Linked DNA regions of Drosophila melanogaster. The gene in region 1 interacts genetically with each later gene. Each region holds a gene or a part of one and is shown in the gene's direction. Other genes may lie near its edges.

Region 1 (4,873 bases):
TGCCAAAAAAAAAGGCCAGAAATGCGCGCCAATTCCGCAAAAGCGATTCTCTGGACCGGGAGACTGGAGACTGAAATCGACTTCAAGGAATTGCATAAAACATTTTTGGCCGTTCTTTTTTTATTTTTTCACTCTCCTCGCTCAAAACTTCGGCCTCGACCAGGCTCCAAACCTCGCACACACACAAGCACAGATATAGAACGTATGTATATCTACACGATATTGACCAAGAACGTAGTTCCCAAAAGGCTGCTTACAGCAACAACAACAACCGGTCTTAGAGAACCAGCGACCAAGCGATCGACCAAAGACGAAAGAATAACGAACAGCCACAAAACAAAAAAAAAAAACAAGAATGAAAAGCTTGGGCTTCAAGTCGAAGATGGAAGTACTCTAGATCTCTTGTAGTCAGACTGATCCGGTGGGTAACAAACTACCTTTACTCAAATTCCCTTACACCATAGGCTTGTCAATAGAGAAATTTTCAAAATTTGTCCCAGGAGTGGCATGTACTTTTTTTGAAACCTACAAACCTTTTTTAATTCTTCCCGTTGTATCCCAAACAGGGTATAGCAGACACCACAACGCAAAGTACACTCAAAGAAATCAAAGGCTGTGCGAGTTGTTCCCATCGAAACCCCGCCTCACCGGAATGTCTCGCCCAATTTCTACCCCTGCCCCACCACTTCCCTGACTTCAGTCAACAAGTTATGTCCATGGCAAGACGACCCGACCCCGACCCCTTGACTCTCCAATTCTGAGTCTTCGACTTTTGGCCGGGTCTTCAGGGGCGTAGCGAGGGTTTGGCACCGGGGCACAACTTCGATCATCATTATATAGTCTTTTGGTTGTGTTTAGTTACGATTTTTATATCATTTAGACTTTTTTCCATATAATCTAAATTTTGTTTTCTGTGGATTTTTCTAAGTAGCCCCTTGGACGAACTGGTTAAAACCTTACTTGGCTTACACTGATCCCCGCCCTTTCGTGGGGCGTGTGTATGCCGCATATTTGAAGCAAATGATGGTTGAAGAGGTGGAGGAGGGGAAATGAAAAGGAGGAAATCTAAAGAAGAGAAAAAGAGGGAAGAGGGAGCAAAAAGAATCCAGCAAATCAAGCTCACATTATGCTGAGGAATGCGCCCAAGTGACGATATCGTAGCAGCAGAGGACGCCGATAGAGGCAGAGTCTTCAGACCCTCAAGTTCCGATTCCGATTCTCCCTCGTCCAGTGCATCTGTATCTGGAGTTTTGCCCAGAGAGTTTATTTATAAGATAGTCGCATCGATGGCTAGCGCAGGGATACTGAAAGCTAGATTTGAATCCAATAGGCTTCCGCCATAGTTTGGCAAAAAGTGAATGCCAAAAGATAGAACTCATAATGTAATTGTAATATACAATGTAAACTACAAGATAGCATGTGATAAAAAGCAGAATTAGAAAGAAAGGTACCTTTGTTAAAATTCTCATATGCATTTTACTTAAATCTGCTATCCTAACAGGGTATCCTTTAAGCCCTTGAGAATCGGAATCGTCGTCTCGCGAGATAAGCCATTGGAATTCCACTACTCACACGGACGCACACACTATGTAGTTGGCTACTGGGATTCTCCTTTGAAGTTTGTTTTTCTTTTATTGCTTATTGCTATTTACATTTTCGTAGCCGTTGTTGTTGTTGCCATCGGGTTTGTGTATCGCTGTGTGCGCTTCTTTCGAATTCGAATTCTCTCTTGGGCTCTCTTTTCGTTAAACGCGGCTTCGTTAAGTTTTAACGAAATCTCGACTCGATCTTCGTTGTGTTCGGTTTCGCTGAGCAGGGGCAAAATCAGTATATCGCTAAACGTCAACGGTAACCGAACAGATCGTCGGGACAGCAAAGCATGTGCTTTCCACTGGGAAATATAAATTCGGTTTAATGAATTTATTCGAGACCTAACATTCGGAAAAGTTGTTCTTCAGATCTTAAATGCACACCGCACGCACACCAGATCGCCCAGACACACACAGAGCTACACAGATTCAGTTGCTTAAAGTGAAGTTCGGTTTTCACTGAAACAAAAACAGCGCGCTTCGTTTTCGCACTCGCCTCAATTACAAAAGTGATTTTTGTTGGTGTTGGTGCAACTAGTTCTGATTTTGGGAAAACGCGCCTTAAAACCACGAAAATATCTACGACTAGTAGTGTAAAAAAGCTGAAGTCAACTCCGAAAAGTTGGTGCTGGTCAAAAAGAAAAAATTCAGCCGCAACAACAACTGCCCACTGGAAACTACAACTACAACAAATAAAGCAGTCAGCAACAGCAAAAACAACAACCCAGCAAACGGCATTCTTTCGCGCAACAACAACGACTCCACGCACACAGATACTCTCAGTTGCGCTCGCCCGCGTGTGCAATTGTTCTGGTGTTAGTGAGTTTTGATTAAAGTATGTGCGACGCTGGAATGCGACCCGATCGCTGTTGACTGCGCAGTCGCAGCGCGCGTCGTGGAAGTGGAAGAGGTCAGAAAGTAACAACAACGAAACGAAAATTTTACTGTTAGGCACTTATCGATAGCCAAATCAATAGATCGGTTTTAAGAGTGCACGAAGAGTGAGCTTTAGTTAAACAAAACTACCAAACCAAAATTAAAAAGCCAGTTATTGTGGATTACGCGAAACCGAAACAGAAGCAGATACAGATACAGCATTAACAATGCCGACTTCTGCAGCGGCTTAAGGTAAGAAAAGGACAGATACACGTGCAGATATAGAGTGGTGTACCCATATGGGGCCATTTCCCCGGAATTTTAATGACTCCCTGAAAACGGCAAACAAAACAAATGCCAGCAAATTTCTTATCTGTCAACCATAAAATCGCCAACGTCCAACGATTGTTTAACATTTCGTTGTTGTCGCCAGCTTTTTTCTTTAAATTTTTTTTTTTGCGTCCCGCTAAGAGTCAAAAATTCAGCGAATTGTGCAATTAACCCATTTCGGGCCATGGAATATCAAATGTCAGTCAAACTTGACACTCTACGGAGGGTATATTGAAATGGGGAAGCTGTTTAGAGTACTATTGTGTCAAATATATATGTACATTCACATGTGCATACATATGTAGTTATATAGTAGGCCTGACCGACTTTTTAAATACCGGTCACATTTAATTAATTTTTTTTGACATTTTCTATGCGGCCCTAAAGTATCTTTGCACAGGGTTTCACTTATCTCGGGATCCAATTTCCAAGTGAGCTAGTCAATTTGATAGGTTCTATGGCTAATAGGCGACTTAAACGGTTGTCAGAACGATCGACGGCGATGCAATTAAGTGAAAATGGAAGCTCCACAGAGTTCTATTGTTATTCCCGGGTTTGGAATTTCAACCGTCCATCGGGATCCCTGGAACAATTGCTGAAATCAGAAACCGCTTGGCAATCAGACATCTTGAATGTAAATCAGCGAAAGATAAACAAACGGGTGAAAACACACGCTTTGGGTATCAGTCGATAAGCTTTAAGCGGTTAAACGCTAATCGTTAAACGATTTTGCCACCAGGCAATCATATACATATGGGTAACTGTATCTGCGGACAGACGTATCTATATCTCGGCAAGTACACATGTATTCCCCGGATCGTAGTTTTAGTTCGCTTGTGGTTTTTTCGATTGAGCACTGACGTCTACATCTCCATCTCCGTGCGTATCTCTTGATCTCCACATCACACTTGACCTCAGGCAATGGGCTTTTGCATTGAAGCTGACAACAGCAACAGCAATGATCATACAAACTCAAAATATTAATTTCGTAAACTGAAATTCCTGCACGCAGTTGATATGCGTGTGCGAACATTGAAAACTCTGGTTGCTCATTGCCTCGAACAATTCAGGCAATTAAAATGTACAACAAATTAAACAAATTTCGAATGACAATCGGAGTCGAGGCTGGCTCAGAGATATAGAGGATACACTAATGAACGACCTTCGAGGATTAAAAAAATGTACTTATCTCTATGCTCGTAAAAAAATATTGTTTCAACAACATATTGCCAGATAGGCAAAAACTTAAAAGCCTCTTTACTTAGAATTGGTCAAAGAATTATTCTAGCCATAATCAAAATACCTTAAACTTTAGAATTATTGGTTACTCGTATTATAGCGCATTCATTTAACCCAAGATACCCTGTATGGACTGCTAATTTTTCTACGGTATTATGGCAGCATAGTTTCGCACGCCTCCGATTTGGCATGCGGCACACGTTGCGGCTTCTTTTTTGTTTTTGTATCTTGCTGTTTGCTGCTCTCATTGTGGAGGCCATCGCCTCCGCCACCGTTACCACCTTCGTTCGCCCAGTTGGGCATTTCGCGTCTGCGGGGTGTGGTGCGCAGTGGAGGAGAGTGGTGCGATGTGGTGCGATTTTGTGGTGCCTAGCCAACTGAAGCCGAGCGACGACGTGTGGGCTGCTTTCTTTTGGCCCACTCCGCCCTGGCTGCTCCTCACAGCTATCCAGCCAACCGAGCAAGCGACCATTTTCATTATTATCATCGGCGGTCGGCGGGGACATTTCACGCATTTCAAAGACATCAAATTGTTTGGCCATAACTGGCACAACAAGTGGAATTCCGCAGCTCGGAATTCGGCATTTGCCGCTTTGCTGTTTTATTTCTCAGTCGCTTGTTCCCTGATTTCTGTTTTCTCCTATTCGATATTCGCAGTTTGGCAAAGAGACGACGAGTTATTTGGCGATTTGATGGCACACTAAGCCCGGCATACAGAAAACTGCTTTCATAATTACTTGCGATGATTTCAATTCAAAACAATATATATTATCCACATAATGCTTTAAAGGTGTCTGGAGTTCGCGAATTTAAAACACCGTGTGCTTTATGAGGTACAC
Region 2 (4,751 bases), on another chromosome or scaffold:
GTCAAAATACTGTTACCGAATGCTTCGACTGCAGTTGTCATCTACACCTTGCACTTGTACATTGCGTTGATCTTGCGCACATCTCCGGCTGAGAAGCCCTTGCGTTGACCCATCTGGCTGGCATCGGATGTGGCACGCAGTGCCTTCAACGTGGGCTGGCCATTCCGAGTGAAACTGGTGGGGGAGTAGTGCATCACACTGCCATAGTCGTATTCCACGCCGAAGCCGTACTGTGTCCTGGAACTGGACTTCTCGAAGTTGACCATCATCTCGGGCTTGATGTTGTCCTTCATCACGCGCACATAGGAGTCACGTTCGTGACGATTCTGCTCATGGAAGAAGCCCAGGGCGTGCATCAGCTCGTGAATGGGAGTGCCGTATGTACGCAAGCAGTTGGGCGACTGCAGATTCACTTCCTGGCGACCACCTAAGCGCCCAATGCTACTCCAGCAGCCAGACTTTCCGCTACCAATGGAGATGTAATCCTTTTCGGTGGTCCTGGGCTTGAAGCGCACGCATGTTTTGGTGTGGTATTCCTAAGATACAAAATCTTATTTGTAAATTGTAATAGGGACTATTACTGAAACCTCACCTTAAAAGCGTGGTTAATATTCCCCAATTCCTGGCTGGTAAAAGGACCTTTGATCTCGTAGGGCACAACGCCGCCCGGCCAGCGGGAACTCAGCGCCAAAATGCCATTACGAGTGCCATTGAATCGGGCGTCCCTGTAGCTCAGTGGAATCAGGATGTCACCTTCGTGGTAGGTTCCCAGCTCCTCGGGATTCAGCGGGGATTCCACACCGAGTGCCTCAACCAAAGCTCCAGTCGTCTCCACGTCCGGATTACCGAACAGAGTATCTCCAAGATCTGTCAAGTCAATCATTTCCTGGGAGTCCATATCCTCCAGGGGCATGGAATCTCCCAGAGAAATGCCCAGTATAATCAGTAGCAAAAGCGAACCAGTATTATTTTGCGATTTGCCCATTTTGCTAATTCCCCAACTGCTGTGATTTCTAACCAGGCTTACCCACATTATATAGTCCCACCTAGACCTCCAAAAATTGACGACATGTTGTCGGTGCTGCCTGTTTATGCTGAGTTCTCTTTGAAACGATAAGTCGGCGCTTTGTGGCCGTTTACATTTACATTAAGTACGTAGTTGCTATCCGCCGGCTTCTTGATTTATGGGGAATTTACTTTTATGCATTCCGACTTGAAAATATGTGCAGTGCGGAATTTTCGCAAGTTAAGATTTGCGGTATTATAAAAGGTTTATTCTATTTGGATTATGATGATGTAGGTCACAACTTACAAAACCCATAACTGCCGTTGGTAATTTAAGTGAAGTTTACGTTTTCATGTTCCCGCCATAAATTAAACTTTACTATGCTCGTGTATTTTGGAATGTCACCTAGACATACACACGATATTAATTGATATATTGAATAGTTATATCAGTAAAGTTTTATGAAAATGTAATTAACGGTTTAATTCTTGTGCGAAATCAATTCAAGAACAAAATATTTTTTTTGTACATATTGTACCACTGTGCAACTTGAATATCAGTGTGGCCATGCATGTTGACTCTATATCAAAATCCAGCCAAACCTAGCCAAGCGGACTGGTCACACTGCACCATATATAAGCCCACGAAACGGATATCGCCGATTCAAACGGTCGAACATTTTTCTTGCTGCTCGTACGTACGTTTTATTGGTTGCTCGCGCTCGTAACGTTTTTTTCGCCCCGTTTTGGCCAATGTGTGTGCGCGCGCGTGTGTGTGTGCTGCTTGCAGTTCAAAAGGGCAGCGACAACAACAAGAACAGCGCACCTCTCTTTTAAGCCAAGTCTTCGGCGCTCGTATGTGTGTGTGTGTGTTGGTGTGATTCAGAATCGTGGCCTGGGAAGAAATGGCAAATTAGTTGGCTCAAAGTGGAATCTCTGTGCTCAATATTCAAATTCAGGCTAGAAAGTGTCGCGTGCGAAAGTTTGCAAATAATACAACTAGCAGAAAAAGAGGAATATAACTTAAAAAAAATAAAAATAACCTGTTCTAAGCCAAGTGCCGATTGCGCGCGTGTGTGTGTGTGCGTATGAGTGTTTGCGTGGAGCAGAGAGAAGGGAGAATGCAATTACCAACAACAACAAGCTCAATGAGTATCGTTTGAATAGCAATAATATCTAGCCAAAAGCAACCCTTTCCAATACGAAAACTCGACTTGAGCCAACAAATCAGCGATCATGGCTAAAATCGCCAATGCGTCACTGTCGCAACAACAAAAACAGCGGCAAGCAGAAACAGCAACGACCACAACAACAACAGTGGCGGCATCAGTAGAAACAGCAACAACAACAGCAAGAAGTCGAGACCGCACGAAAAGCGCAGCTCAAATTACGTCGCATTTGCTCAAGCGCGCCATTTCAGTTTATTCGTCGCCTCAATGGATACCGCTCTTCATACTTATTTACTTAGCAACAGGTGAGAGAGAACCCTGAGAGGGAGCTAGCGAGTGAGTGAGAGGGAGGGCGATAGGCAGTCGAGGACATTCAGGAGGAGAGAGCGAAGATGGGGACATGAGAGAGCAACACGGTGTTTACGCGGTTCTTAAGCTACAGTGATCACTCCACAGCACTGAACTTGCCCGTTATAAATTATTAAAATGTATATTAGATGCCCATTTTAAATGGAATTTGTAATGTTGTTATTGTGTTTAAGCCTTTGGCTGCTCATATGATTAATGAGTTAATGAGATTGAGTTACGGAAGTCACACTGTAAATAATTTATATGATGAGCCACATGCATTCTTTAGCTTAAACATTTGCTGATGTTTCAAAAGCTCGTAATCGAAAAAAAAGAGCAACAGGTCATGTGTGTGTGTGGTGGGGCATTCGTGTGTTTTGGGGATGTTGACCAAGTCATGTTGGGTAAAAGGAATTTGGATTTTCAATGATTTCGGGCCTACGAAAAACTCGTTCAACGGGTTTTCCTTCAAGAAGTGACTCATGGAGCTGGCTTACCTGAAGTTTGATTGTGTTAATTATACACTCATTTCTAATTTTTGATGATTGTGTGCTCGGTCTTATCTTGCAAACAAAAGGAATGCTTAGAAATGTATTAGCTTCGATTGCGTATAAATTTATATTTAGTAGAGTACAACTTTAGTCGCTGAGAGAGATAATTAATCAAATTATAGCTTCAAAGGCGGTTAATGTTAGCAATCTTGGCCAAGAAGAATTAATTACTGAAACCAGAAGAGATATTTTAACGTGACCCGCATTTTTTACACACTGTAGCTTACAAATGGATATCATATTTTTAGGTAAATAACAGGGAATCGTAACAAATTATTGTTTCTGCATTTGTTGATACTGGTGCGATTTTTTGGTAATAAAACCTCATTTGTCTGCATTTTCAAAGCGCTTTTAGCGATATCACAACAGTGAAATCTGTGAAACTTATCGCATAACGATCATAATAATTGATTCACAACTCTTGCTGACTCATTATGTGTAATTTTCTGTTACATGTTGTCCGCGGCTCAATTGTTTGGCTGGCTTAGCATTGTCTGCCCCCTTTTTCCAACGGATTGTGCAAAAACGACCTCAAAAATTGGGTCTATTTATTTACAATTCGAGTACCAACCCTCCAAACGGCCAGCCATCCGGCTGTTGTTACGCGCAATCTTATCTTTTGGCCGGAAAGTGAAGTACAACAGTTGCAAAAGCGCGGCCAACTCAACGTCAGCAATACCGCAATTCCGTTGATAGGTTGATAAGAAGAACACTCAGGAGAAGGGAGCACAGATAGAGAAAGAGTTTTCCAACTCGAAGTAGGGAAAGCCCTGGAGTGCAGCGAAAACATAGTAAACCAGTTTATCAGCTCTTGAAGCTAATAGTAAACAAATTTTCAGCTTAATAATTAAAAAAAATCCAAACGAGTGAAAAGCCCTAATAAAGAGCTATAATTCATTCATTTCCATGAACACATTTTCTTTTAATTGTAAAGAACCAACCTCTCTATAGGCCCTGTATTTTCGTATACCTTTTATCGTAGAATTTATCAAATGACTTTGGTTTATGATTGACAAGGAAAACCGACGAATAAAAAGAAGAGAAAATGAATGTCTGGGCTGGGAAATCCCTGAAAGGCATCACAGCAACTGGTTTATGGCAGCTTCCATCGTAAAATCCAGACACCGACAGCGAAGATCATCAGCGTCATCTTCACTTCGAGAGTGGTTTCTGTACGGCTTTCGTTTGAATTTCCGCCCTAAACAGATATAATCCATCATTTTCAGGGGAAAAATCGCGGCACAGGTATACTAGGCACGCTGGAAAAGTGGAGGGAAAACACAAATGAACCGAAACTACCTGCATTGCGTTAACGATAACAACACGTGACCCCGCGAGTTTATGGAAATTCTCTGGCACGTACATAAATGAAAATCGAGAATGGAATGGAAATTGTACGCTGGACACACCCGCGTTCTCCGCTCTCCGGTGTCCGGTGTTTCAACCTGGTCAAGTGTTAAAGTGCAATCGGCCGTGACGCGGGTCGTGGGCCATGTTCCGTGGGCCTACGCAGCCGGCCGCGACCATTGCCTGACGTTGGCCATTAGTGCAAGTCGTTAGCCAGGTCTATAAAAATAGCCAGAGTATAACTGAAAAAGAACTGATTTGCCCCAGTCCTTTAAAGGTTAGGGCGTACTTTACTACCCAGTACTTAGTGGGGAGTGGGGAATTGTGGCGG
Region 3 (7,875 bases), on another chromosome or scaffold:
CGTGGTGGAACGTAGGTAGCTTTGCACGCAGCTACAAACATTGCTGGATTTACGCTGGTTTGTGGCAAAACTCTGGGTAAACATTATAATGAGCCCAATGCAGTGACCGGGCCCAAAACAAAAGAGCGTTGCAGACAACATGAAAGAACGCCCACACCATGTGCGCTGCTTGGACCCGACCCGACCCGACTGGCCCTACCCAAAATCGCAGTTCACAGCCAGAGCAGCTACGGTGCTCCAAGAGTTCGCGCGGACTGTGGCCAATTCCCAATTGCTGCCATTTCGTTACCCTTTTGCCCAATTTGCCAAGCATCAATGGGGCAACGGGGCGTGGCGGCCACATCCTACGGACGGATATACAGACATTGGACCCCTTTCTTTGCCTGTCTTTCAGTTGTACTTTTTTCAATTACCAAATCACCAAAAGCAAGCAGAGATCCGAAATCCGTTGAGAACTCCAGCGAACGTCGGCGAGCTTCGGCGAAAGAGAGGGCCAACCCAGTCAAGTCCAGGCCAGGCCAACCAGAGTCGAAACGGAAATTGGTAAGAGGAGAAATAAACGAAAAACAACAAGGGACGACAACTGGCGCAAGTGCAAATGGCTCTAAAAAAAAAAAAAAAGAAAAAAAAGCCCCCAACTCTACAGATCCGATCCCCCCGATTCCCGGTTTCTTCAGAGACCCGAAGACCCGTGGAGACTTTTGCAGCCCAGCGAACGAGCGCAAGACGAAGACTGGCAAAGAAACCGAAGACGGAAGACAGAAGACTCGGCCGCGGCTTCGGAGCTTCGAAAGCCCCCTATATAATAATAATAATACAGCAAGCCCCAGTCGCAATCTTCAAGTCGCCGCTCGCCGACGATCAGTTTGAGTTTGGCCGTGGAAGCCGCCAGTTCGGTGTCGCGTTGCTCAGTTGCTCAGTTGCACAGTTGCCCAGTTCCTAATGCTATATAGCTGACAGCTAGCTATAGCCGATACCTTGCTATTCGTACTACGATTTGTGGCGTGGAACGTGCGTCCAGATCGGTTCGTGTGTGCCGCCCCGTTCTGTTCGTCGGTCTCTGAAAGCGAAAACTGGCGCTCAAGTTCAGTCAGCGATTTGTCGATTTCTATGCAAATCATTACTCGGAAAAGAAACACATATAACCCAGAGACGACAGAGTCGGAGACAGAGTCGCCGTAACAACAAAAGGCAGAAAAAGCCAGAAAAAAGAGCGTGCTATTTTTATTTTGCTAAATGTCGACTCGAGGCTCACGTCGCCGGAGCAGAGCCAAAGTCTCCGTTTCAACTGGCGAGAGACTGTAACCCGAGTCGCGGTTCGCGCAAAAAAAAAAAACCAAATCGCAGAAGAAAAAAAAAAAAACCAACAGACAAACAGAAACAGATTGTATCTGTATCTATAGTCGCGACTTGCGGCTCGTTTTGTGTGCGCACATTCGTGTATCTGTATCTGCCGCCGAGCGCAAAAAAGTAATCATAAACTGGAAGGGAAAGAAAAACAAATAAATAATAAAAGAAAAAAAGAAAAGAGTGCCGCTCCCCAGCATCCGAGAAGTACTTCAACTGATACCGATTGATAGATACCGCCCCCAACTCCCGGCCAAGGCGTAGTGATTTGTGAATCAGCTGAGTCGGTTTTTCGGCGGCGACTGCGGTGTGGGAGGATCGATACCCCCAGAGATTTGGATCGAGAAGAAGGAAGTGGCTAGATAGCGCAGCTAATTGAGAATCCATCAAGTTCGCATAGAATGGCTCTCCGCTTAGATTATCGTTGCTTACTGGATGCCTTCGAGGATTACTACTACCACAAGGAGATCCAGCGTTTGGTCGCCGAAACCGCTGGGGGGGCTACAGCAACATCTCCCGCCTCATCCGCCTCATCCGCCTCCTCGACGGCCTCCATCTCATCTGCATCCTGCTCGAGTGGACCCTCCACTTCCTCCATTGTCTCGTCCGCGGCCAGTTCGCACGGTTCGTTGGCCCAGGTGGCTACTGCCCGAGCGGCCGCTGCTCTGGCGGACCAACAAGCACTGGCCAGCCAGAGGGCCATGTTCTACAATGTCCAGCATCCTCAGCAGCTGGAGCAGCTGCATGCGTTGCAGGCGGAGTCCGGCAATCAGCAGATGCATCCGCAGGCGAACGCCGATCCTAACGCCTCCTCCATGGCCAACAGTCTGCTCTGGCAGCCATGGCGAGATCTCCAGCAGGCGGCCGCCATGCATCACCAGCTCTACAGGCAGCAGCAGCAGCAGTTGCAGTTGCACTCAGGTTCGTTTGACAGGGCGACTTCAAAGAAATCGACTAGCGAAAATCCCCCGACTGACTGACCTCGGGGGACTGAAAGGTTGAAACTGTCACATACGGGTGATCTTGCCAGTGAAACTTGCTTACAATTCATTAGGAAGATTGCACATGAGGCCACAATGGCAGGGGATAGTTTGTTTGTATTCTTTCAAATGTGAGATCCCCTTCTTCGTAATTCCATTTTTCGGATTCGTGTAGTTTCACTAATTTGTCTTATCATAACCTTTAATTTATTCCGTGCTTCTTCTGGGAAGTAAAGTCTAAATGTTCAGGGTTCTACAACGTTGTTACGATTTATTATAACGATTATTAATAGCCATCCTGTCGGTAAATGGTACGCTTCAATTTTAGGTAAATAAATATCAGAATTGTTTGTAACAATTGTTTATCAACAACAGTGTGCTTAAATGAATTCAAACTCTAGTATAAACCCTCTTAAAAATTGTCGATTTCAAATTGAAAGAGGTAACACCCTGTCAGTGTCATTCTAGCTTTAAACCACCTGTCAGTTTTTAACTAAATGAAAATTTTAAACTATAGTAGAAACATTTAGAAACATCTAAAGATGTTTAATTACACATTTCAACGAAGCTTTGAATCTTTAAGTATAAAATCCAGCATAAAAAAACACAAAGTTCTTTCCATTTAACCCAAAGTTTCCTATGACAGCATAGGGGATGTTCTTGTTACCTGATTTCTAGTTGAAATCTCATTACAACAAGATCTTTAATTGCAGCTTTAAAAACCGAACAAATAAGAAGCCAAAACAAAGACAATATTGTTTATATAAACTCTTTGCAGACCAGAGTATTGAAATCTTACAAGCATCTTGTTAAATAGTATACGTATATCACCGAATGAACATTCAAACTCTTTCCACTTCTTGGCATGACTGTTCCTTGAAGTAAACAACACGTGTGGTTCTAGGTTACCACATAATATGTTCGCAATTATCTTGGGTGGATGGAGGCAGGCAAAGTGCAGCGAAGAGCAGGACAAGCGAAGACCACGTTGCTGCACCTGCTGCTCACGTGGAGGCTACACTCATTCGCCTGATCGGTGCTGAAGTTCAATGGATCGGCGAACGTGCCCTTTCCTTTGGCCACATGGCCACGATAATCACTCACCCACTGCGCTCATGAATGGGATATCGGAAGCGATTCGCTAAGCCTCGCTTTATCAGTTAGTGGGCGGCGTGTGGCCAGGACGTGGACGTGAACGTGATGACGATTGGGATTGGGACTCAGACGCAGATTGGCAACGGCAGCTAACGCAATCGGTCACGCCGGCTGCAAGAGCGTATCGATGGCGTCTCTACTTGGCTTGTGCCAACTGGAAAATTGGTAATGAAATTGGCAACACTTTTACTGCGCTCCCCCGTCGCCAACGATTGGCTTCGGGCTCGAATTGGCAAACGAGCAGACAAACACACTCACACTCCAGTTCCACCGCGTTAATTGGCGACATTGCACAAATCACACAAATGCTTTCAATTACATGGCGACGCCAGGCAAACACAAAAATCACTGGAAAAAAAGAGCAGCCCGAGAAAGAGCAAAAAATGAGCGCCTGTTTAAACATTAAACCTCCATAAAAAAAAAATAAAAACGATGAGGTGGAACTTGGATTGGGAAGGGGGGGGGGGGGGCTTGGTTTGGGGCTTGGAGCCGCTGTGCTTGGCTCGACTCGGTTTTGCTTTGCTTTTGTTAATTTGTTGACATATTAAAACCAGATTTGCAATCAACTCGGCCAGCGGGTAATGCGGTGCGGGTATAGCGGAAAGTCTGGCAGGGATCGGGGGCTTGGGGATCGGATACGTGGTTACGGGCATGACTCACTAGCCGGCGCGAGTAAAGAAAAATAAACGTAAAATATATAAATAATGAAAAACGCCTGCGATGGCGGTGACGGTGGCGGCGGCGACGATGATGGAAAAATAAATGTGTACACAAAGCTACAAAAGCTACAACAACCAGAGCAGCAACAACTTGTTTGCATAAGCCACAAAATGCTGTTCCCATTGCTATTGCTATTGCTTTGAAGCCATTTGTAGTACAATCTTACACTCCGAACAGGCCAAAACTTATAAGCATGCAAGTCTGCTTGAGTTTTGTCACTCTCGCGCCGTCTCTCTCTTTCCGCCTCTCCTCCCCTCTCTTTCGCGCGTTCCCTTCGGGTCGGAACCAGATATTGGGATCTCACTGGGCCGGCGCTTTCAAATCTCGCCAGACAGCTGATATATCACCTCAGCGGTGAAGAAGTTTTGAGATTGGCCCACCGTTACCGGAAATTGTGAAATGTTTCGCCTGAAATAATGGTTCGATTTTTTTGTACAATAATAATGTACTCTAATTGTTATGGGCAAAGTTTCTAAAATACTTGGATTTATTTTAACATCTAACATTATCAATTGAAAAGTCTATTATTTGCTAAATTTGTTGTTTATAGGAATATTAGGGAAGTAATGCTTTCCTTGTAATTGCTATCCACAAAACATTGAAATGAAGGCAGATAAATTTACCATTTATATGCATCTCTATAAAAATAAATGGGTATCAAAAACTAACGAAATAACCCTGTATCGATTATATACTTATACGAATTATAGAATAGAAGACCTGATGACAAAACCTTAAATACGAATGTATAGATTGGTTTCTTAATTATTCAACTTTGCGGTTGTTTTTTTATTGTTTATTCAAGTCGTTCTTTATGGCTTCAATTCATTTTACAAATGCCAAAACCTGGTTTCTACCTTTAAATCGTTTGATTTTTCTGTTCGGAGTACAAGCTAACTGTCACTACATCCTACATCGCCTGGATCCCACGACTGTCCCTTGCTTATATCATCGATGTAACCCCATTTCGAGCTCCCTTTTACGAACTCCCCCTTAATTTCGAAACGGCCTGCCATTCAATCGACTTCCCCTTTATCGCCAATTAGCCGATACAGAAATGATTAAAACGCTGGCAGCAGAACAAATAAACAATGCCGAGAGGATGCTGAAAATGCGGTGGCGGCGAAGGTGAGATAGGGAGCTGCAGACCACAATCCGCAAAAGAGGGGGAGCCTCAAAAAGAAAGCTTAATGTTCCAACTTCCATGCTCCATGCTCCATGCTCCATCGTTGTCGTTTTCGTCTTCGTTGTTGTGGTTGTTGTTTTCGCTGTCGAACCGCCGATCCCCCAACAGACGGCGACGTCCGACGACCGGAAATGTGCAATAAAATTTGAATGTTTCTTTATTATTATCATCATCCCCATCATCATCCGCTTGAGCCCGAGCCCGAGCCCGAGTCCAAGCCCAAGTTTGCTCCCAGCCTCCGTGTTTGTTGGTTTTTAATGCCTCTTGGCCTGCAACTCCAACTTCACTGCCTCCGCCCTCCTCCTCCACCTCCTCGTCATCCTCTGCGCCCAGTGCTCCACTCGGGACAGACCAGTTTCTTGGCTCCTCTTACTGGTGCTCCTCTGCCTCGCCGGTTTGGTTGGACTCGCAGAGGTAGTAATATATGGCAGCCCCGCAGTGACGTTGCCAAAAACAGGACAACGCTCCCGCCTGCTCCTACCACTCCTCCTGCTCCTGCTCCTCCGCCAACGCCAACCGCCTCCATCCCAATCCAGCCATTCATTCATTCATTCATGCCTGGGTTCCTGGGACTGCAGCTACTCCTCCTCCAAACGGGGTTCTCTGCGCTGCTCGAAATGTGCAGAAGTCGCCCGACTGGTTTGCCTGCCCCTTCGATATCGGCCGAGAAACTGGGTTCTGGGACCTGGCTTCCCGCTGCCAGCCTTTTGCTTTATTTATAAACTTGGTTTCCTGGCAAGCTGCAGCAGCAGCTACACTGAGCGCCTGGAGCAGATGGATCTTTCATCCCGACGGGATGCCCACGCTCCGTTTTGGCCGCTTCCCACGCCGGCAGCTCGGTCAATCGCCCATTGGCAGGCCAGGCACGTTCCTGCGTTTCGCTCAGTGTAGGCCAGGCCCAGACTTTAATACACACACACACACACACATACAACCCAGGCGAACTCGAAAAAGAGCGTAGACCAAACGAGTTTTCGTAACCAATTTTGTTGGTGCCTTGGAGTTTCGATTGTATATGCTTTTTCTGTTGTTATTATTTATTTGTTCGAGTGTGTGTGTGCCGTTTTTTTTGTTTTATTTTTATTCATATTTTTTGCCGATGACGGCTACGTCTTCTTGTGCATAATTTCTGTGCTGCCTTAAACTCTTCCTCCTGCCCGCTCTTGCCGCTCTCTGCCGCTCCGCGACTTTGCAGCTTTTGGCAGAGGTTCATTCAAAAAAACGAAAGACTTAGGCAACAAACTTGCAGGACAGAGCGGGCCAGGGGGGGGTAGAGATTTGGATACATAGACGCAGGCAGGCGATCGGGTGGAGGAGAACCTTTGTAGAGTCAGCCTCGCCTCAACTCCAACTGATTCATTACGCCCACTCATCGACCGCATAATCGAAGCCAAGACGACAGACACGTAAACCGCAACGAGCATTGGTGAATCGCTAGCCAGACAAAACCCAAATCAACCGCAAAGCCACAGCAAATTTATGGGTTTTAATTGAAATTCGATTTTTGTCTATAATATGGACATATGGACTATTACTATTCAGAGGGCTAGCCAAAAAGATGGCCAAAACAGATAGCTCGTTTTCCTGAAAACCGTTTTTGACTCTTGATGTTTCTTTTTTTTTCTCCTTGCAGAGATGCGTGCGACGTCCAAGGTGCTGACCACCACCAAATGGCGACGCGAGCGGCGTCAGCGTAGTGCCGGATACCAGCCGCACGAGGCAGGCAACAGCGAGAGGGAGCGGGAACGGGAGCGGGATCGAGAGGATCGCGACATGGACAGTCCCATTGACATGTCGGTGACGACGGGAGCTCTGAAGCAGAGAGCCTCACCGCCGCCACCCTATCGCGAACCCTTGCCTGGGACCAACTACGCGGCCAACAGTCGACCCAGCGTCATTACCCAGGCTCCACCCAAGCGAGAACCACCGGAGCAGGCCCACTCTACAGGTGAGAAGTCATATATGCACATTAGTGTCAACGATCATACTAACCTGATGCTTTGATTTGCCTTGCAGATATGGCGATGTGCGACATTGACGAGCACTTCCGACGCTCACTGGGCGAGAACTATGCTGCCCTGTTCGCCAAGAAGTCACCGACGCCTACGCCAACACCCACGCCCTCGCCAAGTGGTACACCTAAGCAGCAGGTTTCGCCACTGGCCTACGGACTGCCTTCATCAACCAGCACAGCGGCATCGCAGCACTACCAGCAGCAACGCTCGCCGCTGGCCAAGTCGGGATGGGTCATTCTGGAGCCCGAATCGCTGCAGCCGGAACTGCCGCCGCCGCAGGAGGAACCGCTTCCCCTGTCGCTGGCACTGCATCGCACCCAAACGCCGCCATCGCCGCCACCTTCGGCCACGGGATCGGCACCAGCGCTACCCACGGCCGTCAGCCAGGTGATGGAGGCAGCGGTGGCGGGCAGGCGGATCCTGGACACGCCACACCACACGCCGCCGAGATACAACACACCACCGCCTCCAC
Region 4 (4,789 bases), on another chromosome or scaffold:
AGGCTTCTGACAGTAGAACCAGTTCCTGGTGAGTTTGCCTTGGTACCGCTTGGATTTTTCAGTTTTAATATTGTGACTACTTTTGCACTGATATCAGAGTTTCTTTTAGTATTTCCAATAAACTTATATGTTTCTGTCAGCTGAACATTTTCAATTAAGTGGTTTACAATCCTGGACTCCTTTATATAGTTTGCCTGCAACAGCAGGCTAGACGTAATGCCAGCTTTTTCGTTAACTTTGCCGGACACCAAGCCACTGTTTATCTGCTCGCGATGCGAACAGCTGTTTAAGTTCCGCGCCTTCGTAATTATATTTGCGTTACCCACTTTCGATGTTGATGTATGTGTAGGGCACATGCCGAAAACGTCAACCTCATGTTCCGCTTCTATTCCCGATTGAAGCAATGATACAACTGCGCGCTTAATATTCAAAGAGTAGTCCAAGTCGCTGGAGTCTGAGCAAATTTGTGGCTCTAAAATTCCACTTACCAGTGTAAACTGAACTGGCTTCTGAATGCTGTTCAATATCTTTTTCTCCACAGACTCTTTTGTATTAGTTACCTTAACGGAACTTAACTGTAATGTGTACCCACAGTTTCCTTTCGCAAAAATTTTTGCAGATCCGGACACTTTAAGACTTGTATCATCTGAGTCGTTCGGAACGTCGCTACTCGCTCCAATAGTTAAAATACTGTCGAAGGAATAGTCATAGTAGTTGCCGGGTATGTACTTCAAAAGTCCATTGTCAGCTGTGGCATAAAATTGTTTAGTATATAAATACATACTTTTTTTGTATTACTTACATTTTGGACATCCTAGATTGCAAGCGTTTTCTAAAATTAAAAAGAAAATGTTTGTATAGAATGAATTAAGGAAAAGTAATCTCCAAGTCGCCAAATAAATATTAGTATCACCAGAAAGAATTTTAAAATTTGGGTTCCCCCTTTACCACTTATGTATTTACCTGAACCATCTATAAGGTCTATAAATCGTTATCAATGATTTTGAGTTTTAAAGGTGCAATGTCCTCTAATTTTATATGTTTTGATTGATGGGACTCAAACGATTTTTATGAAATATATGATTTTTTAACGGAGCTATTGGCAAAAGAATTTCTCTTGCTATCCGTTTTTAACAATTTACTGAAAAAGAATCCAGTTGGACATTGCGGTTTAACTGGCAAAAACAGCATTTGTCAAACTTTGATTTTTTTTTTTTTTTTTTGAATATTCCAAATCCTTATAACTTTGACTTTTTTGGAGCAAATTTGAAGTTTTGTATTCTAATAAATTTTATAGTATTATAGTCAATATAATATAAAAAGTGTAATTTTGTAAAGTAGAGAAAATCATTCATAATTAAATCTCCTGTAAGAGATTTAAGTAGTTAAACCATGTTTTTACACGATCGGCTCATTTATTTTTGATTTAGTTTACATAATCTATATCATTCGATAAAAATCAAGATTTCAATAATTTATGGTTAGCTTAACTTGTAGCACTTACCAGCATTTACAGCAATTGTTAAAAGCACAGAAGCTAGGATTCCAATCAAAGCGATATTGTATTTCATCCTGGCCATTACGCTGGGCCCCTTAGGGATAGCCTGGGAATAGCAAACGCCACAATTTGTATCACATTTTTATTTTACTACATGTATTTTTTACCTTTACCAACACTGGTCCAATTTCACTTTGTATATACTTCTTAGATTAAGAAACACACAGACCATCCGCGAATTAAACCGATTCGAATACAATGAACGTTGTCTACGAATTAAGCCGGATTACGTGAAAACACTCACTTTAAATACCTCAAATAAATCAAGAACTCACACATCTACAATTGTGCCACATAGTATTTAAGTGTATGTCTTGTAAATAAATACAAATACAGCGAAACAAGTACAGATGAAGACACATTGTGAGAGACATGCATTTAAACGATTCTTTATCACCAGCGATGGGTGCTCAGGCCAAAGCCGAGTGTATTTAATATAATCTCATTATAATCGGACTTCGACATACTCGACCCTAGCTTAGTACCTTTACCTACTCTCAATTTTCATCTAATACATAAGACAAAAATAAAATAAAGAATAATTAAATATAGATATAATTAAATAAAAATATATCGCTTTGCATAATACGTGCTCAACTTACAATGGCTGATATAAAATATAGAATATATAGAAAATGTAGACGCTATAGTACCATTTCCCGTCTTTCACCTACATTTTCTCGATATACCAGTGGAAAATGACCAGAAAAATAATAACATGAAAAAAAATCACAAAATTTTTTTTAAGTGTGGGCGTGACAGTGAGCGACGTAAAAATCGGTAGATTGTAAAATCTGATTGATAAATCTGACTGATAACAAAAATGCAAAATATCAAACATTTTTCAAAAGTGTGGGCACGGACGGACATGCCCAGATCGATTTGGTAAGAAATCCTGCTCAAGTTTATATATATATATATATACTTTACAGGGTCGTTTATGCTTGCTTCTAAACTTGGTTGTTTTGGGTGACCACCCCCTTCTGGCCATCCTACCAGACCTATTATACCCAATTAAGCATTTTAATTTACACTTCACCGCATTTTCTGGCAAGCCATATGTTACCAAAACCACCCACAGTCTCCATTAAAAATGTAACTTAAAAGCAAATATTGTTCGAATCACTCTATTACTTTAGTAGTACAAAATCCTTTCATCTACCTTTTCAATATTTTAAATATGGCTTTGGGCTAATAAAGTAATAAACAAATCGCAAATTACGTTTTCCTCTTAAAGGTGTTGAAAACTGTAAGAAATGCAAAGTATAATTGTGATTATAAATGTTGAAAACTGATATTTATATACTTGACAGTCTCAAAAGTGTGTAAACTTGGAATTTGTTGTTTATTTTCTTGTATAATTAATATTTTTAATTCGTTTTTTGATTCATAAGTAAAATAAATATTGATTAATTATATTTTAGAAAAAAATTGCGTTTAATTTAAGCAAAGAACCCTTAGTTTTTACCTTTAAAGTCAAAAATTCAACTTATTTCACAGTGTGTAAACAGTTTCTTGACAAACTGTATGTGCAAATAAGAAAACTAGTTGTAACTCTAAAGCAATTATGTTTTATGTATAGGTATTGAGAAATTCGATGTAACAATTGTTATCATTCCAAATTTAATGTGAATGCGCAAGTACACACATACATACATACATATATGCATTTGCAGAGATTGTCACTTGCAATCCATGTTTGCACACATCTGTAATGGAATTTGTTATACATTTTTATGCCCTTTTTTCATATAGATGAAAGTATGCTTACAAATGCAAGCATAGGTACATAGGTATTTAAAATATGCATACACATATTTACACATGTATATTTATTTGATTTTGAACAGATGTATAAAATATGTTTATATGAAAGTTCGTTCCTGAATTGCAGTTAACGACTGATAAGAAACTTTAATCTGTAATTAAAAGTTGCTGGAAAGCAAAACGCTGCTCGATAAGCACGCAGAAAGGCAGCCTGCGTGATCGGACAGAAAAAATTACAGTTCGAAAGAAGTTTACTCTTGTATTGTTCCCGGTTAGTAAATAAATCATCGTAAACGGAAGTCCACGCTTTGAAGATGATCACTAATAGTGCGTTGTGACAGCAGGAGACCACTGTTTAGAAGCGTAGAATAGGATGTCAGTTACGATTGTCTGATTACAACCATTTAAATCTTTTTTCTTTAACCATTAAAAAGTTAGATTACCGTGCCCACATTTTCTGAAAAGATTCCGCTGATGAATTGAGCTCTATGGCCGTACATATGTGAAGTGATTCCAAGTCAGCTTCCTTTTAAAAGTGCACCTTTCATGATAGATTTCCCATATTTAGGGTTTTTATACCACTTGACTAAAAAGGTATTTGATTAATTAATAATTATTTTGGCTCCTAATTATGTGGCTCCTTAGAAATCGGTCATTCCCCTATCCTTTACAATACTCCTCCACCGAGCTTAATTTCGCTTCGATTGGGCCAAACAATTAGACGATTGGGTGTGGTGTTCAAAAATATGGATATCGTTATGGTACTTATTTACAAGCAACTGTGGTTTGCAATCATTTTTATATTAACGAGGAACTTTATTCAATGAAATTAATATTTATATTCAGACCTCCACGGTATTTAATGTGAATTTCTTACATGAAGATAAGAAGAGAACAGAATTTTCTTCTTGAATATGAAGTAATATGACTTCGCATTTACATTTACATTTATTAGCAAATTAGCTGAACCAAATATCACGAAAAAATAAATTGAAAGAGCCGCACCAGATTTAATTTATTTTAAAATTCCTTTGTCTGGGAGAAGAACAAAAATGCAATTTCGGATGATGTTGAAACGAGATTTATTTCATAAAGTTAACTTATAAATATTTTTAATAACAGTGGTCGAGTGAGCGAATTTATCGGAAGCCACCTACATGACAGCCATTTGTTTTGTTTGGGCCCAAAGGAAATATTATAAAAATTTGAGTTAAAAATTTGTTCAGGGGTTTATCAATTATTGATCAGTTTCTGGAAAGCGGTGGAGTCGATATCGCCGTTCATCGTCTGTTTTGCCATCCGTTCGCTTCTACACAAACTTGTCTCACTAATTATCCCTGAATGAAACTTTCCCATAAAGTTTTCCAGTGACAGCTATAGTCAAGTTCCCCGACAGTCAGATATCCCTTACTCGACAAACGGAAGAGCAAAATATTTCCTTATTTATCGGCATTTCGATAAAAA

The links.
Region 2: of ex (region 1) and crb, changing one suppresses a phenotype caused by changing the other (phenotypic suppression), as found in Drosophila melanogaster (3 studies listed by BioGRID).
Region 3: of ex (region 1) and Tgi, changing one suppresses a phenotype caused by changing the other (phenotypic suppression), as found in Drosophila melanogaster (one study listed by BioGRID).
Region 4: of ex (region 1) and Zyx, changing one suppresses a phenotype caused by changing the other (phenotypic suppression), as found in Drosophila melanogaster (2 studies listed by BioGRID).

Annotation. Positions count from the first base shown.
Region 1 is NT_033779.5:429,401-434,273, forward strand, and holds the start of ex (expanded), read left to right. Parts: upstream 1-1,826; 5' UTR 1,827-2,717; intron 2,718-4,873. UniProt on the Drosophila melanogaster protein: Activates the Hippo/SWH (Sav/Wts/Hpo) signaling pathway, a signaling pathway that plays a pivotal role in organ size control and tumor suppression by restricting proliferation and promoting apoptosis.
Region 2 is NT_033777.3:24,293,386-24,298,136, forward strand, and holds the start of crb (crumbs), read left to right. Parts: upstream 1-1,692; 5' UTR 1,693-2,241; coding exon 2,242-2,479; intron 2,480-4,751. Other genes in the region: CG5715 (uncharacterized protein), read right to left, coding at 42-536, 593-985.
Region 3 is NT_037436.4:13,493,879-13,501,753, forward strand, and holds the start of Tgi (Tondu-domain-containing growth inhibitor), read left to right. Parts: upstream 1-1,748; coding exon 1,749-2,268; intron 2,269-7,021; coding exon 7,022-7,336; intron 7,337-7,404; coding exon 7,405-7,875.
Region 4 is NC_004353.4:1,061,899-1,066,687, reverse strand, and holds the start of Zyx (zyxin), read left to right. Parts: upstream 1-1,686; 5' UTR 1,687-1,865; intron 1,866-2,306; 5' UTR 2,307-2,443; intron 2,444-3,768; exon of another isoform or gene 3,769-4,010; intron 4,011-4,789. Other genes in the region: apolpp (apolipophorin), read right to left, coding at 1-748, 803-832, 1,505-1,580.